4 linked regions of the Sus scrofa genome follow. The protein of the gene in region 3 interacts with the protein of the main gene of each other region in a pairwise test. Links are inferred from orthologs where the notes say so. Each region holds a gene or a part of one and is shown on either strand. Other genes may lie near its edges.

Region 1 (5,146 bases), on a different chromosome or scaffold from region 3:
AAACTTTTCGCCCAACCCCTTCATTTTCTTTCTTTTTCTTTTTTTTTTTTTTTTGGTCTTTTTGCCTTTTCTAGGGCTGCTCCCATGGCATACGGAGGTTCCCAGGCTAGGGGTCTAATCAGAGCTGTAGCCTCCGGCCTATGCCAGAGCCACAGCAACGCAGGATCCAAACCGCGTCTGCAACCTACACCACAGCTCACAGCAACACCGGATCCTCAACCCACTGAGCAAGGCCAGGGATCGAACCCGCAACCTCATGGTTCCTAGTCGGATTTGTTGACCACTGAGCCAGGACGGGAACTCCATCAGCACCTTCGTTGTATGAGATCCATACTGTAAAATGACTTGCCCCTGCTGGTCAGAGACAAAGGCAATTCCCATCCCAAGGTCTCCTGCCTCTCAGTGCCGAGTGTGTCCCCCAAATCATGCTGCCTTCCCAATGCCTTTTTGGGACCCCAGTACCTCTCCTCCGGTTCCAGGAAGTGAGATGGACCAGGAAGAACTTCCTGACTAGCAGGTGGTGACACAGAAAATAGTTTGCCTTTGAAATAGCACCTGACATTTGTTTGCATAGGGCTTGATGCTTTTCAAAGTGCCACCTTCCCTTTTACTGCTGGATCCTCACAAATAAGCAAAGTATGGGTGAGGTAAACAAACAACCTCTCTTCCCTGTATGATGGATGGTGGGGTGAAGATACCAAGCCCAGGGACCAAAGTGACCGGGGAGCTCTTGGGGACGCAAGGACTCTTTGAATTCAGAATTTGGGTCCTGTGACCCATCTTCCACTTGGGATACAGAGATGTGCGCGTGCAGGAGAGATGGCTTAGATGGGCAAAGATGCCAAAAATCATAGGTGAGCGGGGGCAGAGCTCAGATCTCACCGTCAGGAGGTCCCTTGCCGGCCTCTGGTTCTTCTCCTCCAATTCTTCGATCAGGGTGTTAAACCGGCAGATTTCCCCAGCGACTAGGACATCAAACTCGTCCCGGTGCTTCAGGATGTCCCCATCCAGCCTCTCCAACTGGGCTAAGAGGACGCTCTGCTGTTCCTCCAGGAACTGGCTCAGATGTGCAAACTCAGAAATCACCTTTTGTTTCTTAGTGGCCACCTGAGTCTGAGGGGACAGGAGGAGAGGCTAGAAAGTCATTCCTCCTCTTCCTCTACTTGCTTTTCTTTCTTTTTCCTTAATTCACACCCATCCCCCCTGGCCCAGATCCACATCCCCCAAGGTTTTGTGGTAAAGTCAGAACCCCCCTCTCTGGGTCCCCAGAGAGATTTGGAACACCGGCATGGTTTCCCTTCCACCTTCCATGCCATTTCCAGGAGCTAAACTGCCCAGCATCACCTTGGCACCTTCTGCCAGCTGCTAAAAGGGCGAGGGTCACAGGAGGCATGGAGGAGGCGGGGAGGACACTGGCCTCTTGCCTCTTACAAGATGCATACTGTGTGCTCAGCACTAGACTGCATTACAATCCTGATAGCCATCCAGCAGGTAGTGACCATCTTTAATCGCCACAGAAAAATGAACAGGATAGAGGATTGCTTGAGGTCTAGAGCTAGTTAGTTTCCCAGCCAGGATTTGAACTCAGAATGCCTTCAAAGCCCTCTATGCTATGTTGCCTTGGTTTCAGAGTGACCCCAGACCCTGAGGAAGAGAAGAGGACCAGGGAGGGGGTGATGACCTACCAGGAGGACTTGTATCCTTTGGTTTTCTCTTAACTGGATTCTTTGAATCTCTTCTCCCTCTTTTCTTAGACACTCAAGACACTTCTGTATTTGTTCCTGGAGAGAAGGAGCATAAACTACTTAAGATGAGGGAGAGGGGGATACATTGGGATTTGGGGATTAGTAGACACCAACCACTATATATAAAACAGATAAACAACAACAGCCTATGGTATAGCACAGGGAGCTAGATTCAGTATCTGGTAATAAGCTATAATGGAAAAGAATCTGAAAAAGGTTTTACACATATGTGTATTTCTCTATGTGTGTGTGTGTAACTGAATCACTTTGCTGTACACTGGAAAACAACACAACTTTGTAAATCAACTATACTTCAATTTAATTGGTTTTTTTTTTTTTTTTTTTGGTCTTTTCAGGGCCGCATCCGTGACACATGGAGGTTCCCAGGCTAGGGGTCAAATTGAAGCTGTAGCTGCTGGCCTACACCACAGCCACAGCAATGCCAGATCCGAACCGTGTCCGTGAACTATACCACAGTTCATGGCAGCGTTGGATCCATAACCCACTGAGCAAGGCGAGGGATTGAGCCTGTGTCCTCATGGATCCTAGTCAGATTCGTTTCCGCTGAGCACAACAGGAACTCCTAATTTTATTTTAATTTTTAAGATAGAAACAATGACTTAAGATGTATCATCTCTGCCTCCAGGAATGGAATGACCCAAGAGATTAAGTCACTCCCTTAGCTGACAATGCCTGGGTCATCATTGTCCTTGACAGCTTACTCTCTTTGAGTCTTTGCTTGCTTCGTCTGCCAAGAATTTTCCCCTTTATCTTGTGCCATCAGAGGCTATGACTCATATTCCCACTTGAGCCTTAATCTCTTCGAGATAAACACCCTAATTTCTTTTGCCTTTAGAAAGTGATATCCAGTAGTTCCCTCGTGGCTCAGTGGTTAACGAATCCCGACTAGGAACCATGAGGTTGCTTGGATCCTGAGTTGCTGTGGCTCTGGTGTAGGCCGGCAGCTATAGCTCCGATTAGACCCCTAGACTGGGAACCTCCATATGACACAGGAAGTGGCCCTAGACAAGGCAAAAAAAAAAAAAAAAAGAGCTAGGAACCATGAGGTTGCAGGTTCGGTCCCTGCCCTTGCTCAGTGGGTTAACGATCCGGCGTTGCCGTGAGCTGTGGTGTAGGTTGCAGACGCGGCTCGGATCCCGTTGCTGTGGCTCTGGCGTAGGCCGGTGGCTATAGCTCCGATTCAACCCCTAGCCTGGGAACCTCCATATGCCTCGGGAGCGGCCCAAGAAATAGCAACAACAACAACAACAACAATAACAACAACAACAACAACAACAACAAGTCAAAAAAAAAAAAAAAAAGTGGTATCTGGGATCTGCCCTGAGCTTGCTAGGCCCGTCTTTGAAACTATCCCAACTTTCCCACATGTCCCAAAAGGAACACATCCAAACCGCCTCTTCTGTGAGTAGAATCAACTTTCTAGGTATGATTCTTTTTTTTTTTTGTCTTTGCTATTTCTTTGGGCCGCTCCTGCGGCATATGGAGGTTCCCAGGCTAGGGGTCGAATCGGAGCTGTAGCCACCGGCCTACGCCAGAGCCACAGCAACGAGGGATCCGAGCCGCGTCTGCAAACCTACACCACAGCTCACAGCAACGCCAGATCGTTAACCCACTGAGCAAGGGCAGGGATTGAACCCGCAACCTCATGGTTCCTAGTCGGATTCGTTAACCACTGCGCCACGACGGGAACTCCCTCTAGGTATGATTCTGAAGGGAAGAGAATCTTGAATAGTGCAAAAATAATCAATGAATTTTTAAAAAATTGTTCACTTTAGAATAGAGTTAGGAACAGGTGTACACACATAAATGTCCATATAAGTACGTTTCAAAATATATTCAGAATTCTCACCATTAAATGCTAATTAAGTAATTGACACACAGACACCTGCTCATGGAGTCCCCATCATGGCTCAGTGGAAACAAATCTAACCAGCATCTATGAGGATGCAGGTTCAATCCCTGGCCTCACTCAGTGGGTTAAGGATCCAGCATTGCCTTGAGCTGTGGTGTAGTTCGCAGATGTGGCTCAGATCTGGTGTTGTTGTGGCTGTGGTGTAGGCCAGCGGCTACAGCTCCGATTCAACCCCTAGCTTGGGAACCTCCATATGCCTCAGGCACAGCCCTAAAAAAAAAAAGACAAAAGAGAAAAAAAAAAAAAAAAAAGACAGACACCTGCTTGTACTAAACACAATGCATAAACAACTAAAACCAGCATATACTCATTTCACGACAGAGAAAGTTACACACCACATATGCTTACTCAACCTGCATATATGTAAACCCCAATTGACTCACAAAATGCGAGCACTGTTACACATGCACACTCGAAGAGTCAGATCTCCCCCAAACACTCCACACACAGTGATAAACGTGCACCCATGAATACCTGCACACCGTGTTTGTGCATCATACTTGACTAATCCAAGGCCCAGACGCACACACTCATGTTTGGGTGACTCATTCATCCAACGTGTATTTACTGAGCTACTCTGATGTCCTGGCCATAAATAAACAACCTAGGACGTCCTGCAAACACAAGCTCTCCCACCCAAGCTCTATCGCCTGGGTGATGATAGTAGATTGCATTTCTTTTCAGAGTGGCTCAAATAATCCACACCTCTGCTCTGATGCTCTTAGTCCGGTCCGATGGCAGTCCCCTCCCCCACCCCCGGAACCCCTCCGTGTTCCCTCTCCTACCCGGTAGGGCCCCGCTGCATCCTCCAGGAAGCGCACGGTGTGGTGGCGGTGCTCCCAGGCCTCCCGGCACACCACGCACAACTGCATTTCATCGTCCTCGCAGAAATAGTAGACCTTCTCCCTGTGCTCCAGACAGACGTCCTCCTCCTCCTCCAAGCCCAGCTGGGACCCCAGCTTGAGCCGCTCGATGTTCTCCACCACGCTGGCCAGCTGCCAGTTGGGCCGGAAGCTCCCTGGGCGGAAAGGCTCCTTGCAGAGCGGGCAGGTGGGGAGCTCCCCCGGATCCAGGCAGGGGATCTCAAGGTAGCGGGTGAGACAGACGCAGCAGAAGTTGTGGCCACAGTCGATGGTGACTGGCTCCCTCAGTGTCCCTTGACAGATGGGGCAGTTGACCTCATCAGCCAGGCTGCTCACGGAGGCAGCTGAGGCCATGGTGTTCCTGGGCTTGGGGCCTCTTCAAGGTCACCCTCTCTGCTTGGCTCGAGGCGTGCGGGGGACTGGGAGATCAATGAGGACAGGCACCACACACTCACACACCCACACACGCACTCGGCCAGACACAGAGACCTCTTACATACCCACTGACACCCTCGTGGTCACACACACACACGTGTGCACAAAGGCAAGACAGCCACTTGCATCTCCGGCAGCCAGGGTTCTGCTGTCCCCCTCCCACAGGAACA
Region 2 (5,913 bases), on a different chromosome or scaffold from region 3:
GTGATTTGAGCCCTGGCCTCGTTCAGTGGATTGGGGAATCTGGCCTGGCCACAAGCTGCAGTGTGGGTTGCAGATTCGGTTTAGATCTGGCATTGCTGTGGCTGTGGCATAGACTGGCAGCTGCAGCTCCCATTTGATCCCTAGCCTGAGAACTTCCATATGCTGTGGGTGTGGCCATTAAAAAAAAAAAAAAAAAAGCTGAGAATTGTCCTGTCTGTTAGAAGTCGAAGGTACAGTCATAGACATTTTCCAGACAAAGGATCTTACATAAAAATGACATTTGCGGAGTTCCCATCGTGGCGCAGTGGTTAACGAATCCGACTAGGAACCATGAGGTTGTGGGTTCGGTCCCTGCCCTTGCTCAGTGGGTTAACGATCCGGCGTTGCCGTGAGCTGTGGTGTAGGTTGCAGACGCGGCTCGGATCCCGCGTGGCTGTGGCTCTGGCGTAGGCCGGTGGCTACAGCTCTGATTCAACCCCTAGCCTGGGAACCTCCATATGCCGCGGGAGCGGCCCAAGAAATAGCAACAACAACAACAACAACAACAAAAAGACAAAAGACAAAAAAGACAAAAAAAAAAAAAAAAAGACATTTGCCATGTTTGGGGGGGGGCAATTTTCTCTCTTCGCTAAGCTCCTTCACTTCATCCTCAAAATGAGGACGTGAGGGCTTCCTGGGGGAGGAATTCTAATGCTCCAATTCCTTTGCAGCCTGCCCTGGGACACTCAGGAGCCAGAAATGGCTCAGAAGCTCTGGGTCCTGGAGCAGGTAAGGAATTGGAGATCCAAACTAGAAGCAAGAAAGTCAACAAAAGGGTGAGGAGTAGCATTAAGTATTAATGTCTCCTGAGTACTCTTGAGTACCAGGGTATGGATGGCAGAACATTTCAGAGACGCTTGAATTCCTGGGGAATGAGAAAGCCCTAGTTCACAGCGGTTCCACCGTTGCTGTCAAACTCTGCTCCTCTGTCGGGAAGTTTTCGGGCAATTGGACTACAGATCCCATAATGCACGCAGACTTAAAAAGAGGGTCTCGCCCTGTTCAAAATCCTTTAGAGCCATATGCTAGGGACTACAACTCCCAGAAGGACACGCTCTGCACCGTGGTCCTCACCTTACAGGCAAATTATTCAAGGCCACCCCTGCATCTTCTTTTTTCTAGTCCGAGGAACACGACCCCTTATTTACCAACATCTGAGGGTCACCGGGAGCGAGTTCTCAGCCTCTCTCAAGCCTTGGCTGCTGAGGCGTCACAGTGGCACCGAATGATGACAGGTGAGAATGGGCTGGGGACCTTGGGCTCCTGGGTGTTAGGGAAGAGGGAGTCTGGAGGCCCGGAATCCTAGGTCCTGGTGGGGAGGGGGGTCCGACGACCGCCAGAAACCCTCTGCCTTGGTAAAGAAAGAGCTGGACAGGGCTTGGGGGTTCCAGACCCCAGTAGGAGGGGACTGGATCCCAGGACTGCCGTGTCTGGGGAGGAGAGGACGGGGAGCCTGGACTCCTAGGTTTGAGAGGAAAGTCCTGGGTGTCGGGACTTCTGGGTCCCAAAGTTTGCCATTCTCGTTCTCCGTCCGTCCTCTCCAGGTGGCAGTTTGGACTCTCGAGGAGACCCTCTTCCCCCTGCGTCGCCACCTCCGTCAGATCCCACGCCCTGCGTGTCCTCGCCCCCAAGATCTCCTCCAGTGGCCAGTTCCCACTCCACGGGGTTCTCCCACCGAGGGACTGGGCGCGACGCAGGCCCGGCCTCTTGGGAGCCGACCTGGGATTCCGGGACCGCCCCTCCCGCGCTAACCCCAGACGAGGAGGCGTGGCCTCTGAGAGTCACGCTGCTACAGTCCAGCTTCTGACCCGCCCAAGCAGGGCAGCCAATCAGAGCTGGAGGGCGTGTCCCGGAGGTACTTCCGGGACAGATGGAGCCTCTTCCCTCACCTGAGGGCGTGATCTGGTCCCCTCCCGGTGGCCGAGGAGTGGCTACTTTGGCCAAAGTTTGATTTTCCCAATACTTGTCCAAATTTGGATTAAAACATTGAACTCTTAGTCGATAACTTTCTGTCTGTTTGGAGTTGTGACACCGGTGTCTCGAAGAGGTAGAGCTGGAGTGGTGAACTCCTGGGTCCCGCGGGAGGAGGGGACAGCGGACTCAGCTTTGTGTGTCAGAGGAACGGGGGGAGCTCGAGGTCTGGATTACTGAGTCTGAGGGAGGAGGGGGCCGGCGACCTGGATTCCTGGGTCTGAAGGAAGAGAGGACCCGGGACCTGGACTTTGGAGTCCAAGGTCCGGCAGAGGGGGCCGGACTCCAGGAATCCCGAGTTTGAGGGTTGGGGGACCGGCCTCCTGGGTCTGAGGGAGGAGGGGGCTGGGGCCAAGTTCCAGGCTTCTGGCTTTCCTGGCAACGCCCCCGGGGCCGGGCTTCAGGATCCAGCCCCTATTTATGGTTCGACCCCAAGACCTCACCGGACTTCAGAGGGGGATAGAAGCCTCGAGTGAGTGTGAGTGAGTGGCCGAAGGAGACCTTCTGACGCGGGATGGCAACGGGAACGCGCTATGCCGGGAAGGTGGTAATCGTGACGGGGGGCGGGCGCGGCATCGGAGCTGGGATCGTCCGAGCCTTCGGTGAGTGGGGTCTGGTCGGCTCTGAACAGTGGAGTCTGGGAGCGGAGGGACCCGGGGGCTAATGGGTGTGGGACGAAGTATCTTCTGTACTGGAATCTAGATTCTTGTCTCGTAAAATCCAATTTGCAAAGTTAACGAAGGGAAGGCAGAGGTGGCCTGGGGCCTGAGATTGCGGCGGATTTTCAAATGCCATTGACTCCCTTTCTCTGGGTCTCAGCTATTGCTACAGAATGGGGGGCCGGGGGTGGTGGTTGAAGGAATATGTCTTTTGGAGGTTTAGGGTTTACTCTAGAACCCAGGGATGGAGACTCAGGAGCCCCAGAAGTCACCTGGAATAGCCAAGGAGAAGGCTAGGCTTCTGCCTTTTGCCCTACGGGATCATCATGAGACTTTGGGGTCACGAGGGGAACAGAGCTGGGGCGGTGGTGGGGGGGGAACGGCCCTGTTCCGGGTGGCCACAGAGGGCAGCAGAGATCTTCACCAAGGTCTCTGCAGGGCTAACCTATTCCCTGTCTATTCGCAGTGGAAAGTGGCGCCCAGGTGGTGATCTGTGACAAAGACGGTGAGTGAGGGTCCCCCAGTCCTCAGCCCACTGCCTCCTCCCTTAGATTCAAGAAGAATACAGGCCCCAGCACCCTCCTCCCTCAGACCCAGGATCCAGCCCCAGCCCTCCTCCCTCAGACCCAGGATCCTGGGCCCCCAGCCCCTCCTCTCTGAGACCCAGGCTCCAGCCCCCAGCCCTTCTCTTCCTGCAGAGTCCACTGGTCGGACCCTGGAGCAGGAGCTGCCTGGGTCTGTCTTTGTCCTCTGTGACGTGACTCAAGAGGATGATGTGAAGGTGAGCGCGTAGTTTCTGTCCCTCCCCGTCCCCCTCAATCTCCAATCGTTCTCTCTCTCCCTTCACCCCGGGCTTTGCACATGCTATTCCCTCTACCCTTCCCCATCTCCTGGCTAAATGACACCTGCCCCCAGAGTCTCAGCTCAGTTTCATCGCAAAGCTTTCCTAACTCGGCTGGCCACGTCCTGTGTCTGCCGAGAAGATTCTCCTCTATCTCCCAGGCCTTCAAGGCCCCTGGTCCCTCCTGTCACATGATCTGGATCCAGTAAGAGTTCTCCTTCTCCCAGGGTTTCTCCCCTTCCCTTCATCTGCTCCCCCATCCCCCACCCTCCTGGGTCTCTGGAGTAGTGAGCTCAGGGTGTGTGTCACCAGCCCTCTGGTCTCTGGCACCCTGGCGTCCAGTCTCCTCATCTCCTGCCATGCCTGGCGATTTGGGGTCGGCCCCCACAATGTCCTGTCCCCTCCGCGGTGACTCCGCTTCTGCCACGTCTCACTTGGGGGAGCCCAGCAGGGGCGCCAATGCTGTTCACTCACAAGACAGCTTTCTCCTCAGACCCTCTTTCTGAGACCATCCGCCGCTTCGGCCGCCTGGACTGTGTGGTCAACAACGCCGGCTCCCGTGAGTTGTCAACCCGCTTCCCGGGCTCTGTCCCATTGCTGCTCTGTGTCCCCAGGCCTGTGCCGCCACCTCTTTATGCCTCAGTTTCTACATTTCTAAAATGACAATGACCACCACTGTCCTTGCCATTACAGGGTGTTGAGAGTATTAAATAGTGTAACTGGGCGGAGTTCCCGTCATGGTGCAGAGGAAATGAACCTGACTAGGAACCATGAGGTTGCGGGTTCAGTCCCTGGCCTTGCTCAGTGGGTTAAGGATCTGGCTGTGAGCTGTGGTGCAGATACGGCTCGGATCCCGTATTGCTGTGGCTGTGATGTAGGCCAGAGGCTGTAGCTCCGATTCGACCCCTAGCCTGGGAACCTCCATATGCCACGAGTGCGGCCCTAAAAAAAAAAAAAATTGTGTCACTGCTCAGCCCCCTAATCACCCTAACTGTCTTGGGCAGACAGCGTCCATCTTGCAGCCTCCGTTTTGGTTTGGTTTGGTTTGGTTTTGGCCATGGCATGCAGAAGTTCCAGGGTCAGGGATTGAATCTGCGCCACAGCAGCAATAATGCCAGGTCCTTAGTCTGCTGAGCCACCAGGGAACTCCAACCTCAGTTTCTTTAAAGTGAGGCGGATGGCTCTTTTTTTCTGTGACTGTGAACAAGTACGCTTGGCCCAGGGCTTACAGGTCTTGGTGTGGAGGCTTTGAAGGGAAATTGTCATCTGTTTCATGACTACCCTTTATAAGAATGCCTCACATTGGTAAAGCGAGGCTCAGCGAGGTGAACTGATTGGACTAAGGTCACACAGCAAGGCTGTGATGGAAAGATGCCTTTCTTACTGGCTGGACAACTTTGAGCAAATTGATTTACCCTCTCCGGGCTGCAGTTTCCTTCTCTTGTCAAGATATAAAGAGATGGCAGGTACTAGTTCATCCATTCTCTCTATGTCCTTTGGCCTTTCAATAGATGTTTACTGAGCATCCGCTATGCCCATGTTCTTTCCTAGGGACTGGGGATGTAGCGGTAAACAAAACAGACGAGGCATTTCTGTCCTCGTGGGATTCATGTTCTAGAGAAAGGAAACAGATAAAAAAAAAAGACAGCTATCTTTCATCTTCATTATTCACCCTCTGGCCCCAGGCAGGACTTGGGGCGCTTTCCCAGTATTCACGGACATGCGCAGAGAGGCTGACATCTGTGTGGCCTGTAGCACTTTTTCCCAGCTAAGGTCAGACAAGGTGATACTCTGCCCTCCTGGGTTCAATCCTCAAACAGAATTTCCCAGAGGGGGGAGATGAGAGAGGGCAGGGGCCGTTTGAAGAGCTCGCTCTGGGGCCAGTTGGATGGAATCCATCCCAGTGCTGACACCTGCGAGTGGGGCAGCCTGAGGCAAGTCACATGACATTCCTGAACCTGGTTTCCTCATTTGCAGAATAAATAAAATAGTCTTGCAGGAGGAGTTGTTTTTAGGATGTAAGATTATAGTCTGTGTTAGCCACAGGGCTCTCTATACGTATGTGCATGTAAACAAACACACATATGGCCCGTCTGATTCTGTTCCCGCTGCCACAACGAAATGCCATGGACCAGGTGGCTTCAACAACATACGCATTTATTTTTCACGGTTCTAAGGGCGAGGAGGTCCAAGATCAAGTTGGAGGCAGTTGCTGGGACCTCACACAGTGGAAGAGGCAAGGGACGGCTCTAGAGTCTCTTATTTTTTTATTTGTTTGGCTTTTTAGGGCCCCACCTGTGGCATATGGAAATTCCCAGGCTAGGGGTGGAATCCGAGCTGAGCTGCCAGCCGACACCACAGCCACAGCAACTCAGAATCCGAGCCGTGTCAGTGACCTACACT
Region 3 (5,697 bases):
AGCACAGACTTGTGGTTGCCAAGGGGGTGTGGGAGGGATGAATTGGGAGTTTGGGATTAACAGATGCAAACTCTTACATGTAGAATGAATAAATAATAAGGTCCTACTGTATAGCAAGGGAAACTATACTCAATATCCTGGGAACTTCCATACTCCACAGGCACAGCCTTAAAAAACAATAAAAAAGAAAAAGGAAAAAAAAAAGCAATAAAAAAAAGAATTTGAAAAGGAATACTTATGCGTATAACTGAATCATTTTGCTGTAAAGCAGAAATTAACACAACATTGTAAATCAACTATACTTCAAAAAACATTTAAATTATATGTATTATACATATGTGCGAGGCATGTGAATATATAGATATGTGGAAAAGAACTGTCAAAATGTTTATATACTATATAATATATATATATATTTTTTTCTTTTTCAGCCACACCCACAGCATAAGTTCCCAGGCCAGGGACTGAATCCAAGCACTAGCTGCAACCTACATCACAGCTGCAGCAATGCTGGATCCTTAACCCACTGTGCCACAGTGGGAATTTCCCTACGTAATATTTTTAAATGATCATTTATTTAGTCATTCATCTAATATTCATTACTCATTCATTTAACTATATATTAAACTCTTAATACATGCTAGGCATCCTGCTGGGTGCTGGGAAAACAGAAGAGAACAATCAGTTAATTTAGTCCACTAAAATAACAGTAATTTTGAAAAATGACAACAATCAGTATTGGTGAATTTAAGAAGGGGAGCTCTCTCATATACTACTGTTGAGAATATGTTTTGGTAAAATATTTCCGGAAAGCAATTTAGCACTTTTGGTTTTGTTTGTTTTTTTTTGGCTGTGCCTGCATACAGAAGTTCATGGGCCAGGGACTGAACCTGTGCCACAGCAGTAACCAGAAAACTTTAGGTCCCTAACCTGCTGAGCCACCAGGGAACTCCTTTTTTTGTTTGTTTGTTTGGTTTTTGTAACACTTTTAATAAAATTCTTAGAAATAGCCATTTCACTAAATCCTTTGATTTTCAGGAATTTATTCTAAAGGAGTATAGATGTACACATAAAAAAATATATCAAGCAGCTCATAAATGAATTTCTTGGGAGAGGGATAATTTTGGTTTTTTTTAGGGCTGCACCTGTGGCATATGGAAGTTCCCAGGCTAGGGGTCCAGCCGGAGCTGCAGCTGCGGGACTATAGCGCAGCTCTCAATAACGCCAAATCCTTAACCCACTGAGAAGGCCAAGGATCTAACCCGCATCCTCACGAGGACAATGTGGATCCTTAACCCCCTGAGCCAGACAGGGAGCTCCAGGAGAGGGCTTAAATATTAAACTTAAATATTAAACAATGGGGGTTTCGGTAAATAAAATATCATATGTTCACAATGCAGAATATCGGGAATCTTGTTTAACCTAGAAAAATTTTAATATAAAAAAGTGTCCAAAATACATGTGACAAGGTTTTTAAAGTGCGATACCAACTTGCTCTAACTTGAACAAATCATTTAAGGGAGCTGAGTCTCTTCATTGACAAAGCTTAGATCCTTAAAGACCCCTTTCAACTCTTACCTGAGTCTAGGTACTCATCCTTTCTTCTTCGTAAAGAAAAGAACTCATCATTGGCAGTCAGTAAATTTTAGGTTGGCAGCTGTTTGTAGAGCTATCCTAAACTATTTTCTCTGAGAATTTACTAAAAGATGTTCGCAAAAAGGAAAATACCTATTTCGGAAGAAGATGTCCCTCAGTTGCCTATTCTTTCAGGCATCGTGCTTGGTTTTGACGGCAAAGACATTAATGCCCTCAAAAAGTTTAAAGTCTGATAATAATGATAGTGATCAGTGACAACAACGCCTGGAAAATAAGGAGTAAGGAAAAGGATTCCAAAGTAGAAAGAAAATCATGTCCAGAAACAAGATACTCCAGGAAGAGTACCGTTGACACGAAGAAATGGACCATTATTTGTGGTCTTTTTTTGCAGTCCTGTTCTTCTCGCTACCCAACACCACAAATCTCTGTGGACGCTGAATGAGAGGCTGAGCAGTACACCAGGAATCTCGGGTGCATCCGGCCGGGCCGGTGAGAAACTGACAGGAATCTACAGCTCACAGGTAACTTCTCTGAGGATCCAAGAAAGGCGACTTGATAGTGGCCACCCAGCGACTATTAGCTCCCGCGGGCGTTCCTGGCCCAAATTTTCCCGCCAATGTGAGTTTCTCAGATTTCCCAGGCCCCGCCCACTCCCGAGCGGGCGGAGAGCTTTGAGGGCGGGGAAGCGCCGGAAGCCTATCGCTATCTCTAGAATAGACTGCTCTACCCTGCGCCGACGCATAGTCCCGCAGACTTCTCTGCAGATCGCCGAGCGGTAGTTTCGGCAGCGCTCCTTGATCTGCAGGTTTACCGGAGGCCGTGACTAGGCTCTCGCCGGAACCATGGTGCGTTGGATTCCGAGCTCAAACAGGGTTGGGGCACAGGCCCGCTGGCTGGGGGTTGGCGAGTGATCTCTCTGTCACTCTTAGAGCGGGCCGGGGCTATGGGACATGGGAACCTCAGCCGATGGGGGGTTCTGGAGTGATTCAGCATCTCTGGCCTGGCCGGCACAGGGGAAGTCGGTAGTCGGTGCGGCCTTTCCCCTGGGTTTGTTTCGCTTTCCATCCGGCCTTGAACAATACCTCCTCGGTCTGCTAGCCGAGTTCGCCCCTCAGTTTCCTTCAGTCGAGTAGATTCCGAGCGGTCCAGAGGGGCCCCTAGTGCTCTGTGTGAGAGAAAGGAAAAATTGGGATTTGACTTTTGGAATCTCCCTGTATAGCCAATAGCAGAGTTGAGAGCTCAATTCTCTTTTAGAGCTCAATCAGAAAAGGCCTTTTTTCAGTCACTTATCCAGTTAAGTATTTTTATGAAAGAGTAAACTGAAGCTGATAGAAGTGATAGAATAAGGGTTACAATATAGGGCTCAGAGCTTCCAGTCCTATGTCTACCATTCCAGCAGTCAGCCTTCTCACCCTAATGATTGGGCTCCCAAGTACTGTGCTGGCAGACTCATTTTAAGCTGTCTTTAAAGCTGTAATGGGTCCGTCTCTGTGGCTATTTGTGTCCACTTCTGACTTTCTGGGGACATTCTTGTGTGTACTCATTCTATAACAATGTTTTAAATGCACTGTTTTAACTACAGTGAAGGTTCAAAGATAAATCAGACACGTCCCTAATCGTAATATAAGGTCGAAAAAAAAGGTGTAGATAAAGGAATGGTAGGAGTATGTGTTGGGATTTGGGGAGGAAAGATGGAGAAGGCTTCAAGAGGTAGACATTTGAGGTATTTAAGGAAAAGGAATGCTTTTTTTTTTTTTTTTTTTTTTTGTCTTTTTGCATTTTCTAGGGCGGAATCCGCGGCATGTGGAGGTTCCCAGGCCAGGGGTCTAATCTAATCGGAGCTGTAGCCCCGGTCTACGCTAGAGCCACAGCAACGCAGGATCCGAGCCTCGTCTGCGACCTACACCACAACTCACAGAGGCGCCAGATCCTTATCCCACTGAGCAAGGCCAGGAATGGAACCCGCAACCTCATGGTTCCTAGTTGGATTCGTTAACAACTGAGCCACGACAGGCACTCCAAGGAAAAGGAATGCTTTTGATCGTATTAGGTCTTGGTATCAGGGAAGAGAATAAGCCAAAGATAGAAAGGAGAGTGGACACATAGGAACTTTAGTAATTGACTGAACTCAAAGGCAGTGCAATGGACAGTGGTAGAATTGGAATTTGGGAAGATAGGTCCCATCTGGCTCTGCTCTCCCCTCCCTCACAAGCTCCTTGTAAATGTAAAATTGGCTTGCAACTAAGTACAGTAGAAATCTTCCAATGAGGTTGCAGTAACAACCTTTCATTAATGTTGGATGGAAATAGACTAGAAAATTATTATTATTATTATTTTCTTTTTTTTTGCTTTTTAGGGCTGCACCCAAGGCATATGGAAGTTCCATAGGGGTCCAGTCAGAGCAGCAGCTGGAATCTGACCTATGCCACAGCTCATGTCAATGCCAGATCCTTAATCCATTGAGCAAGGCCAGGAATCAAACCCTTGTCCTGATGGATACTCGTTGGGTTTGTTACCAATGAGCCACGATGGGAACTCCAGAAAACATTTTTGAGTGATAGAGCTTGTTAAGATTTGGGTTTTGTAATGTTCTTGTATTAACAGATTTTTTTTCATTTACTTTCAGTTTCGCAACCAGTATGACAATGATGTCACTGTTTGGAGCCCTCAGGTAAAATGTTTTATACTGTTTCTACAAAGTTGCTTTTGGTGGCTGCAACTTAAAAATGTTTTGGATAGTATGCTGTGAGAAAATATAATCATTTTAGACATTCCTGTAAGTTTCCTAGTTTTAAAGAACATCGTTTGAGGTTTAGCTATTCTTACCTGAAATTTGGGATCTCTGAGTTAATTTTTTTTCTGCATTTGATCATATGGGGATATTTATGTCATTTTTAAAAAATATAATTGTTTAAAAATATAGTTGTTTTACAACGTTGTACTAATTTCTGCAGTACAGCAAAGTGACCCAATCATCCATATATATATATACACATTCTTTTTCTTGTATTACTTCCATTGTGTTCTGTCCCAAGAGGTTGGATATAGTTTCCTGTGCTATATAGTAGGATGTCATTGCTTATCCATTCTAAATGTAACAGTTTGCATCTACTAACCCCACACTCCCAGTCCATCCTACTCCCTCCCCCGTCCCCTCTAAGTTAATTTTAAATCCATGAAAGGGTCTTGTACAATGACTCTAAGGTGTATTGGGTTTTTTTCCTTTTTAGGGCAGGATTCATCAAATTGAATATGCAATGGAAGCCGTCAAACAAGGTTCAGCAACAGTTGGTCTGAAATCAAAAACCCATGCAGTGCTGGTTGCATTGAAGGTAAGTAAAGCAATAAATATATCTTCCTCTTTTAAAAAAGAGCTACTGGGAGTTCCCATTGTGGCTCAGCGGTAACAAATCCAACTAGTATCTATGAGGATGTGGGTTCGATCCCTAGCCTCACTTAGTGGGTCAAGGATCCGGCATTGCTGTGAGCTGAGGTGTAGGTCACAGACACAACTAGGATCCTTTGATGCTGTGGCTGTGGTGTAGGCCAGCAGCTGCAGCTCCAATTCAGCCCCTAGCATGGAACTTCTATATGCTGCAGGTGTGGCCCTAAAAAGCAAAACAAAAAACAACAAAAAACCCAACTATCAAATGTAAGTCTCACTATGTAGATAATAAATTATAAACTTGTTTTTCTGTCTTAAATAATGTCTATTTAGAGGGCACAATCAGAACTTGCAGCTCATCAGAAAAAAATCCTCCATGTTGATAACCATATCGGTATCTCAATTGCGGGACTTACTGCCGATGCTAGACTGTTATGGTGAGTATGATCATGAAAAACAAAGGAAACATCTCTTGATTCATAATTGATTATATTCTAGAAAAGATCCAGATGTTTTACAGGTATTCTATTCTGCCAGAATGTTTAGAAGATTGTGTATACCTTAGTGAAGTTGGGCTCAGTTACTCAGTATCCCATTTCTTGATCCTCTGTGTAGTAACTAATAGAATTAGCCATACTAATATTAATGCCTTTGAGAAGTCATTCAATGATGTGATACTTGTTAACTCAGTGTATAGTGTTTGATATTATGTCTGA
Region 4 (5,769 bases), about 14 Mb from region 3:
TGTGAAGTTAGAGGCAGCTGGGGAAACTGAGTCTGCGGCTCCCTTTCTCTAGCGGGGATGAGCAGTCCCTCTCACGCTGAGTAAGGCTGGGGCTCGAGGCTGGGGCTCCAGGATGGGCCTGCCCTGGCTACTGTCAAACCAATAAATAAATCAGGGATCCCTCAGAAAAGGCTGGGGTGGTGGAACAGAGGCGAGCAAGATCTCTTCCAAGCCCAGGATAGTCAGAGGAGCCTCCTGGAAAGGAGGCAAAGGGGCAGTGGAGCTGAGCCTGAAAGGGCAAAACAAAATATGTACCTTCAAGAAGGGCATTCCATGTGGAAGAAACAGCTTGGGTTTGCCCACCTTCTGGCCTGGAAGGAGGAAACCTCAGATCTTGGCCTGGGAATAAGTTTCTAGAAATTATACAAACTGGAATTCACCTAAAGGTAATTTGAAGGGAGCTACCAGCTCAGCTGTGCAATTCTTGTTGGGGTGGGGATGGGGGCAGACAAATATACTAGAACAAGAAAAGGAGGAGTTTCTGTTGTGGCTCAGCAGGTTAAGAACCCAACTAGTATCCATGAGGATGTGGGTTCAATCCCAGGCATTGCTCAGTGGGTTAAGGATCCCTCGTTGCCACAAGCTGCGACATAGATCACAGATGTGGCTCTGATCTGGTGTTGACTATGGTTCTGATTGGACCCCTAGCCTGGGAACTTTCATATTCCTTAGGTTCAGCCCTAAAAAGACAGGGGAAAAAAAAATGGCAAACACTTCTGAGGTTTGAGAAAGCTCACAAGTGAGTCTCCAAGCTTCAGGGAAGTGCAGGTTCTGAGGAGCCTCAGTGCTCTGTCCAAGAACTCGGTGGCACTGTGTGACTTTGGAGGGAGGAGTCTCCAGGGAAAGGGCAGATAATAGGATTGACAAGGGGGCCCCACAGGCAGGCTCGGATCAGGGGAGACTGAACTCAGTTCCAGAAGGACCCTCTCCCAGCAAGCGTATGAAGGGGTGGCTTCCCTCTGACCAGAGGTGGCAAATGCAGGCCTGTGGGCCTCCAGGCAATTTTCTCATTTGGTGGGACCTGGACAATGATGTTCCTTCCACCTCAGTCTTTGGACCCTATAACACAGCAACAATAATCCTAACCCAACCTCACTAGCATTTCTTTTTCTTTCTTTTCTTCTTCTTTTTTTTTTTTTAGGGCCACACCTGACCCACAGCACATGGAGGTTCCCAGGCTCGGGGTTGAATCAGAGCTGCAGCTGCAGGCCTTCACCACAGCCACAGCAACCTGAGATCTAGGCCCATCTGAGACTTACACCACAGCTCACAGAAACACCAGATCTTTTTACCCACTGAGCGAGGCCAGGGATGGAACCCACATCCTCCTGGGTACTAGTTGGGTTTGTTTGGGGTGAGCCACAACAGGAACTCCCCTCACTAGCATTGTTACAGTTGTTTGGGGGGATCAGGGTGGGATGGGAAAGCAGGCAGGGATTCTGAGCAGGGCATCCTGTATCAAGCCCCTTAAGTGCCTACTGTTTGCCTCTCTCTCACCTTCTTCTAGGCCCCTCTCCGCCCAAGTCTCTTTGGTTTTCTAGAAACACGCACTGAGCTCCTACCGTGTGCAGACGCCTGGACCCACAAGGCGTCAGATGTGCGCTGCCTCTGGATTCCCATCAGGTGAAGAGGGACTTGACCCCCCATCACAGGCAAAAGCAGCAGTGATGGGGAGGGTCCGGCTCACTCTTGAACAAAGGATGAGGCCACATTCTATTCTGTCCACCTAGGCCTGTCTCTGACTCCCTCCTCCATCTCTCTGTCTCTGGGTCTGGGTCTCTGTCTCCACTGCATCCCCTGTCCCCTTCTGTACCCATCTTAATATCCCGTCCACAATCCTCCCCACTTCCTCCCTGCTCCCACCCCTCCCTCTCCCCCTCGCCGCGGAGGGCCGGCAGGGGGCGCTGCGGGACGGCCTCGGCCGCCCGGGGAGGCGGGGCGGGCGGCGGCCGCGTCGGGACCGGCCGCGATGGGACCGGAGGCGGCGCGGGCGGCGGCGGCGGCGCAGACAAAGGCGCGGGCGGTGCGGCGGGCGGCGAGGAGGGCGCGGGCCCCGGAGCCAGCGAGCGAGCGGGGCGCCCGGCTTCGGGGAGTCGGCGCCGTGGGGCCGCACCCGTCTCGCGCCCGGACATTTGCGGGGCGCCGAGCCGTCAGGGTGAGCCTGGATAGCTGAGCCTGCACTGGGTGCAGGGGGTTGGGGGCGCGAAGTTCTGGGACTGGGGACAGGGCTCGGGGGTCCTCGAAGTTCCGAATACGGAGGCTGGGGGCGGATCAGGGAGCCCCGAAGTTCCAGGGCTTGAGAGGGCACAGGAACCCCGAAGTTCCGGAGTCGGGGTCGAGGAGGGCACAGTACGCCGGGTTCCCCAAATTCCGGACCTAAGGTGGAGGGGAGGCGCGAGGGGACGCCGAAATTCCAGACCTGGGGATGGAAGGGTGGCAGGGGTCCCCGAAGTTCAAGAGCCAGGGACAGCGGGGAGGATCCCCTAAGTTCTGGACCTGTAGTTGCAGGAGGTAGATAACACGTCCCCGAAGTTCTGGATCCGGAGTCAGGGGGAGGGGGGGAGGCGTAGCAGGGATCTTGGAAATACCAAGGTCCGGGATGGCACTTCCTGCATTTGGGGCGCACATGGGGCACCCCGCTTCTGACGGGTGGGGATTCGATTCTGAGCGAGTATCTCCTCAGATCCCCTGGGCTGGGGTTCCTGGGGTGGGGCTTCGCCCCCTCACGCGATTGTGGATCCAGTACACCGGGCGGGGTCAGGCCCCCCTTTGGGAGCCCCGCTGCCGGCAGCAGCGGCGTCCGAGGCGCATGACTAGTTGGTGAGTAACTTTCCCCAACGCCTAGAATCGCTGCAGGAGCATCCGGGCAGGGAGGCCCGAGTTTCTGGGACCCCCTGCGCCCGGAACCCTGGCTCAACCCGGGACCTAGCCCCAACCCTGGCCAAAGTCGCTGCCCCTCCCCCACCCAGGGGCTCCGGTTTCAGACCCTGTGACCGGGACAGCAGCTGCCCAGGACAGAGGAGGGGGGCATTCCCCCTCTGACCATGGAGGCTGCTGGGTCGGGGCCTCTCTTCCCTTAGTTTGCCTCCCCCTTCCCCCAGGTCCTCCCCTAGGACTCCCCCCCCAACCCCAGGGTGTTCAGATTAAGTGGTGAGAGGTGATGCGGACTGAGTGGTGATTGGAGGCCACCACCTTGAACCTGTTTAGCCACATCTTGTTTTTTTAACTAGGCTGAGGGCTCCCTGGGGGCTTTGACTCTGAGGTGTGCCTCTGCCCTAAGGTGGAAGCTGAGGGGTCTCTTTGTGGGTCCAGAAGGGGACTGGTTTACCAGTAGGCACCTGCCAATGCCCCACTTTTTGATGGAGGCTCTGCTTTGGGAGTGATGGATGAATGTGTCAGGAAGTACTACACAGGAGTTGGCCTTGGCCTCCTCAGCCCAACCCAGAGATTAAGAAGACTTCACTGGGGGTCTAATAACCAAGAAGATGAGAGGTTTATGCTGGTAGGAGCCACTTGGCTCCTATCAGAGGTAGTCTCCTGCCCAGGGTGTTGCAAGGGCTTCTTCTAGATGGGGAGAGTTGGGGTCTTTTTGCTGAGAACTTTGAGCTTGAAGCTCTGTGAATAGTGAACCTGGTGGTGGGTCCTGATGTTGGACATGCTTGGCCTCCCTCAGCCTGGCCTGGGGGACACTCACAGGCCCCCCTTCTCCCCGCAAAGGCCAAACCAGCAGCTCCTACCATTCTTCTGGCTGCCCCTTGGAGCCCACAGACCAGCCTGACCAATGTCCACAGCCAGGTGAGCCTCTGCCTCTACCAGCTTGACCCTTAGTCTTCTGAGATGGGGGGCATTGCCTGGCCTCCACTGAGCACCCTCTCCCCACCAGGGAGCAGCCCATCTTCAGCACTCGGGCGCATGTGTTCCAGATCGACCCGGCCACTAAGCGGAACTGGATCCCTGCGGGCAAACATGCACTCACTGTCTCCTACTTCTACGATGCCACCCGCAATGTCTACCGAATCATCAGCCTTGGGGGTGCCAAGGTCCTGGTGGGGCCTGGGTGGGGTGCCAGGTGCCAAGGATCCCAGTGACAGGGGTGGGTTCAGTTGCTGCTTTGCTGTGTGCTTTGGGAGCACGGGGTGGTGGGGGGGTGCCCTGAGTCTTTCTGGGCCTCAATCTTCCTCTTGAAATGGCCAAAGACCTCTGAGGTGCTAATACAAAGTGATACCCCCCGGGGAAGGGGTTCATGTTCATTATTACCAGTTCCCATCAACCATGAACTTTGCTTACCCTCCCCCCCAGGCCATCATCAATAGCACTGTCACCCCCAACATGACCTTTACCAAAACCTCCCAGAAGTTCGGGCAGTGGGCAGACAGTCGCGCCAACACTGTCTATGGCCTTGGCTTTGCTTCTGAACAGCATCTGACACAGGTGGGCCTGTGGGGGTACATGGTGGGAGGAACGGGGCTAGGGATGGGTCTTCTCTTGGGTGCTGGGGGACCCTGGACAGATGGCTGGGCCTCCATTTTTCCAGCTGCAGAATGGGCATACAGAATTGGACAAGCAGAAAGAAAACAGAATTAGACAAGCCAGTGGCCCCTTCCCACTTCCCTGGTTCACATCCCAGCTCTGTTGCCTGCCTGCTCTGATTTCAGAAGCACCTGCCCCTCCCTGGATGCCTGGGATGTGCTTCCTCCCCACACACGCTAGCACTACCTTCATTATCAACTTCCTCTACCCTCAGCTGTTCTAGGGTTCAGTATTATCTCTTTTTTTTTTTTTTTGTCTTTTTGCCTTTTCTAGGGCCACTCCCGTGGCATGTGGAGGTTCCCAGGCTAGGGGTCTAATGGGAGCTGTAGCCACTGGCCTACGTCACAGCCACAGCAACTTAAGATCCAAGCCGTGTCTGTGACCTACACCACAGCTCACTGCAATGCCAGATCCTTAACCCACTGAGTAAGGCCAGGGATCGAACCTGCAACCTCATGGTTCCTAGTCAGATTTTTTAACCACTGCGCCCCAATGGGAACTCCTCCCTGTTCAGTATTGTCTTACCCATTGTTTCCCTGAATGGTTAGTGTTCTCTGAGTCCTGTTGAGCTCATGAGACTTTTCTTCTAGAAGCATTTGTTTTCCTTTCTTTTCTTTTTCTTTTCTTTAATGGCCCCACCTGTGACATATGGAAGTTCCAGGCTAGGGGTCGAATCAGAGTGCAGCTGCCAGCCTACGCCACAGCAATGCCAGATCCAAGCCTCATCTGCAAAGTACACCACAGCTCATGGCAATGCCGGATCCTTAACCCACTGAGCAAGGCCAGGGATCGAACTCTCATCTTAATGGATACTAGGGTTCAGGTTCAATCCCTGGCCCGTTAACTTCTATATGCTATGGGCTTAACCAAAAAAAACCCCTTTTTTTTTCAAACTAAGGAAATTTATTTTGAAATAAAAAAAAATATATATATATAGTGTATCCTACCCTAGCTGGAAAAGTGGTAGGTAAATGTAAACTATGGCGTAACAAAAATGAGATCCGGGTGATTGCTTTCTCACTGGCTAGGGGTGCCTCTCAGAGGCTCCAAGGCCAAGACCTGCTTTTTCTTGGTGATAAAAGGATATTCAGGAGTTGCCTCCATGGCTCAGTGGTTAACGAATCTGACTAGCATCCATGAGGATGCAGGTTCGATCCCTGGCCTCATTCAGTGGGTTAAGGATCCGGCGTTGCCATGAGC

What was found.
Region 1: the proteins of PSMA1 (region 3) and TRIM10 interact in binary tests that used the Homo sapiens proteins (3 or more experiments, as listed by UniProt). The two-hybrid records come from large-scale screens. The link is inferred for Sus scrofa from reciprocal best matches to the Homo sapiens genes PSMA1 and TRIM10.
Region 2: the proteins of PSMA1 (region 3) and HSD17B14 interact in binary tests that used the Homo sapiens proteins (3 or more experiments, as listed by UniProt). The two-hybrid records come from large-scale screens. The link is inferred for Sus scrofa from reciprocal best matches to the Homo sapiens genes PSMA1 and HSD17B14.
Region 4: the proteins of PSMA1 (region 3) and HOMER3 interact in binary tests that used the Homo sapiens proteins (3 or more experiments, as listed by UniProt). The two-hybrid records come from large-scale screens. The link is inferred for Sus scrofa from reciprocal best matches to the Homo sapiens genes PSMA1 and HOMER3.

The regions. Positions count from the first base shown.
Region 1 is NC_010449.5:22,723,823-22,728,968, forward strand, and holds part of TRIM10 (tripartite motif-containing protein 10), read right to left. Parts: 5' UTR 4,896-5,146; coding exon 4,464-4,895; intron 1,782-4,463; coding exon 1,686-1,781; intron 1,114-1,685; coding exon 883-1,113; intron 1-882. UniProt on the Homo sapiens protein: E3 ligase that plays an essential role in the differentiation and survival of terminal erythroid cells. May directly bind to PTEN and promote its ubiquitination, resulting in its proteasomal degradation and activation of hypertrophic signaling.
Region 2 is NC_010448.4:54,140,144-54,146,056, reverse strand, and holds the start of HSD17B14 (17-beta-hydroxysteroid dehydrogenase 14), read left to right. Parts: upstream 1-1,913; 5' UTR 1,914-2,086; intron 2,087-2,446; 5' UTR 2,447-2,524; coding exon 2,525-2,612; intron 2,613-3,135; coding exon 3,136-3,174; intron 3,175-3,367; coding exon 3,368-3,450; intron 3,451-3,987; coding exon 3,988-4,069; intron 4,070-5,913. UniProt on the Homo sapiens protein: Catalyzes the NAD(+)-dependent oxidation of L-fucose, yielding L-fucono-1,5-lactone, which rapidly converts spontaneously to L-fucone-1,4-lactone. Can also act on D-arabinose and L-galactose, with lower catalytic efficiency. Does not use NADPH.
Region 3 is NC_010444.4:44,737,798-44,743,494, forward strand, and holds the start of PSMA1 (proteasome subunit alpha type-1), read left to right. Parts: upstream 1-2,304; 5' UTR 2,305-2,438; coding exon 2,439-2,441; intron 2,442-4,222; coding exon 4,223-4,267; intron 4,268-4,826; coding exon 4,827-4,928; intron 4,929-5,314; coding exon 5,315-5,418; intron 5,419-5,697. UniProt on the Homo sapiens protein: Component of the 20S core proteasome complex involved in the proteolytic degradation of most intracellular proteins. This complex plays numerous essential roles within the cell by associating with different regulatory particles.
Region 4 is NC_010444.4:58,911,963-58,917,731, forward strand, and holds the start of HOMER3 (homer protein homolog 3), read left to right. Parts: upstream 1-1,986; 5' UTR 1,987-2,194; intron 2,195-2,722; exon of another isoform or gene 2,723-2,859; intron 2,860-3,712; exon of another isoform or gene 3,713-3,756; 5' UTR 3,757-3,820; coding exon 3,821-3,834; intron 3,835-3,922; coding exon 3,923-4,079; exon of another isoform or gene 4,080-4,132; intron 4,133-4,338; coding exon 4,339-4,470; intron 4,471-5,769. UniProt on the Homo sapiens protein: Postsynaptic density scaffolding protein. Binds and cross-links cytoplasmic regions of GRM1, GRM5, ITPR1, DNM3, RYR1, RYR2, SHANK1 and SHANK3.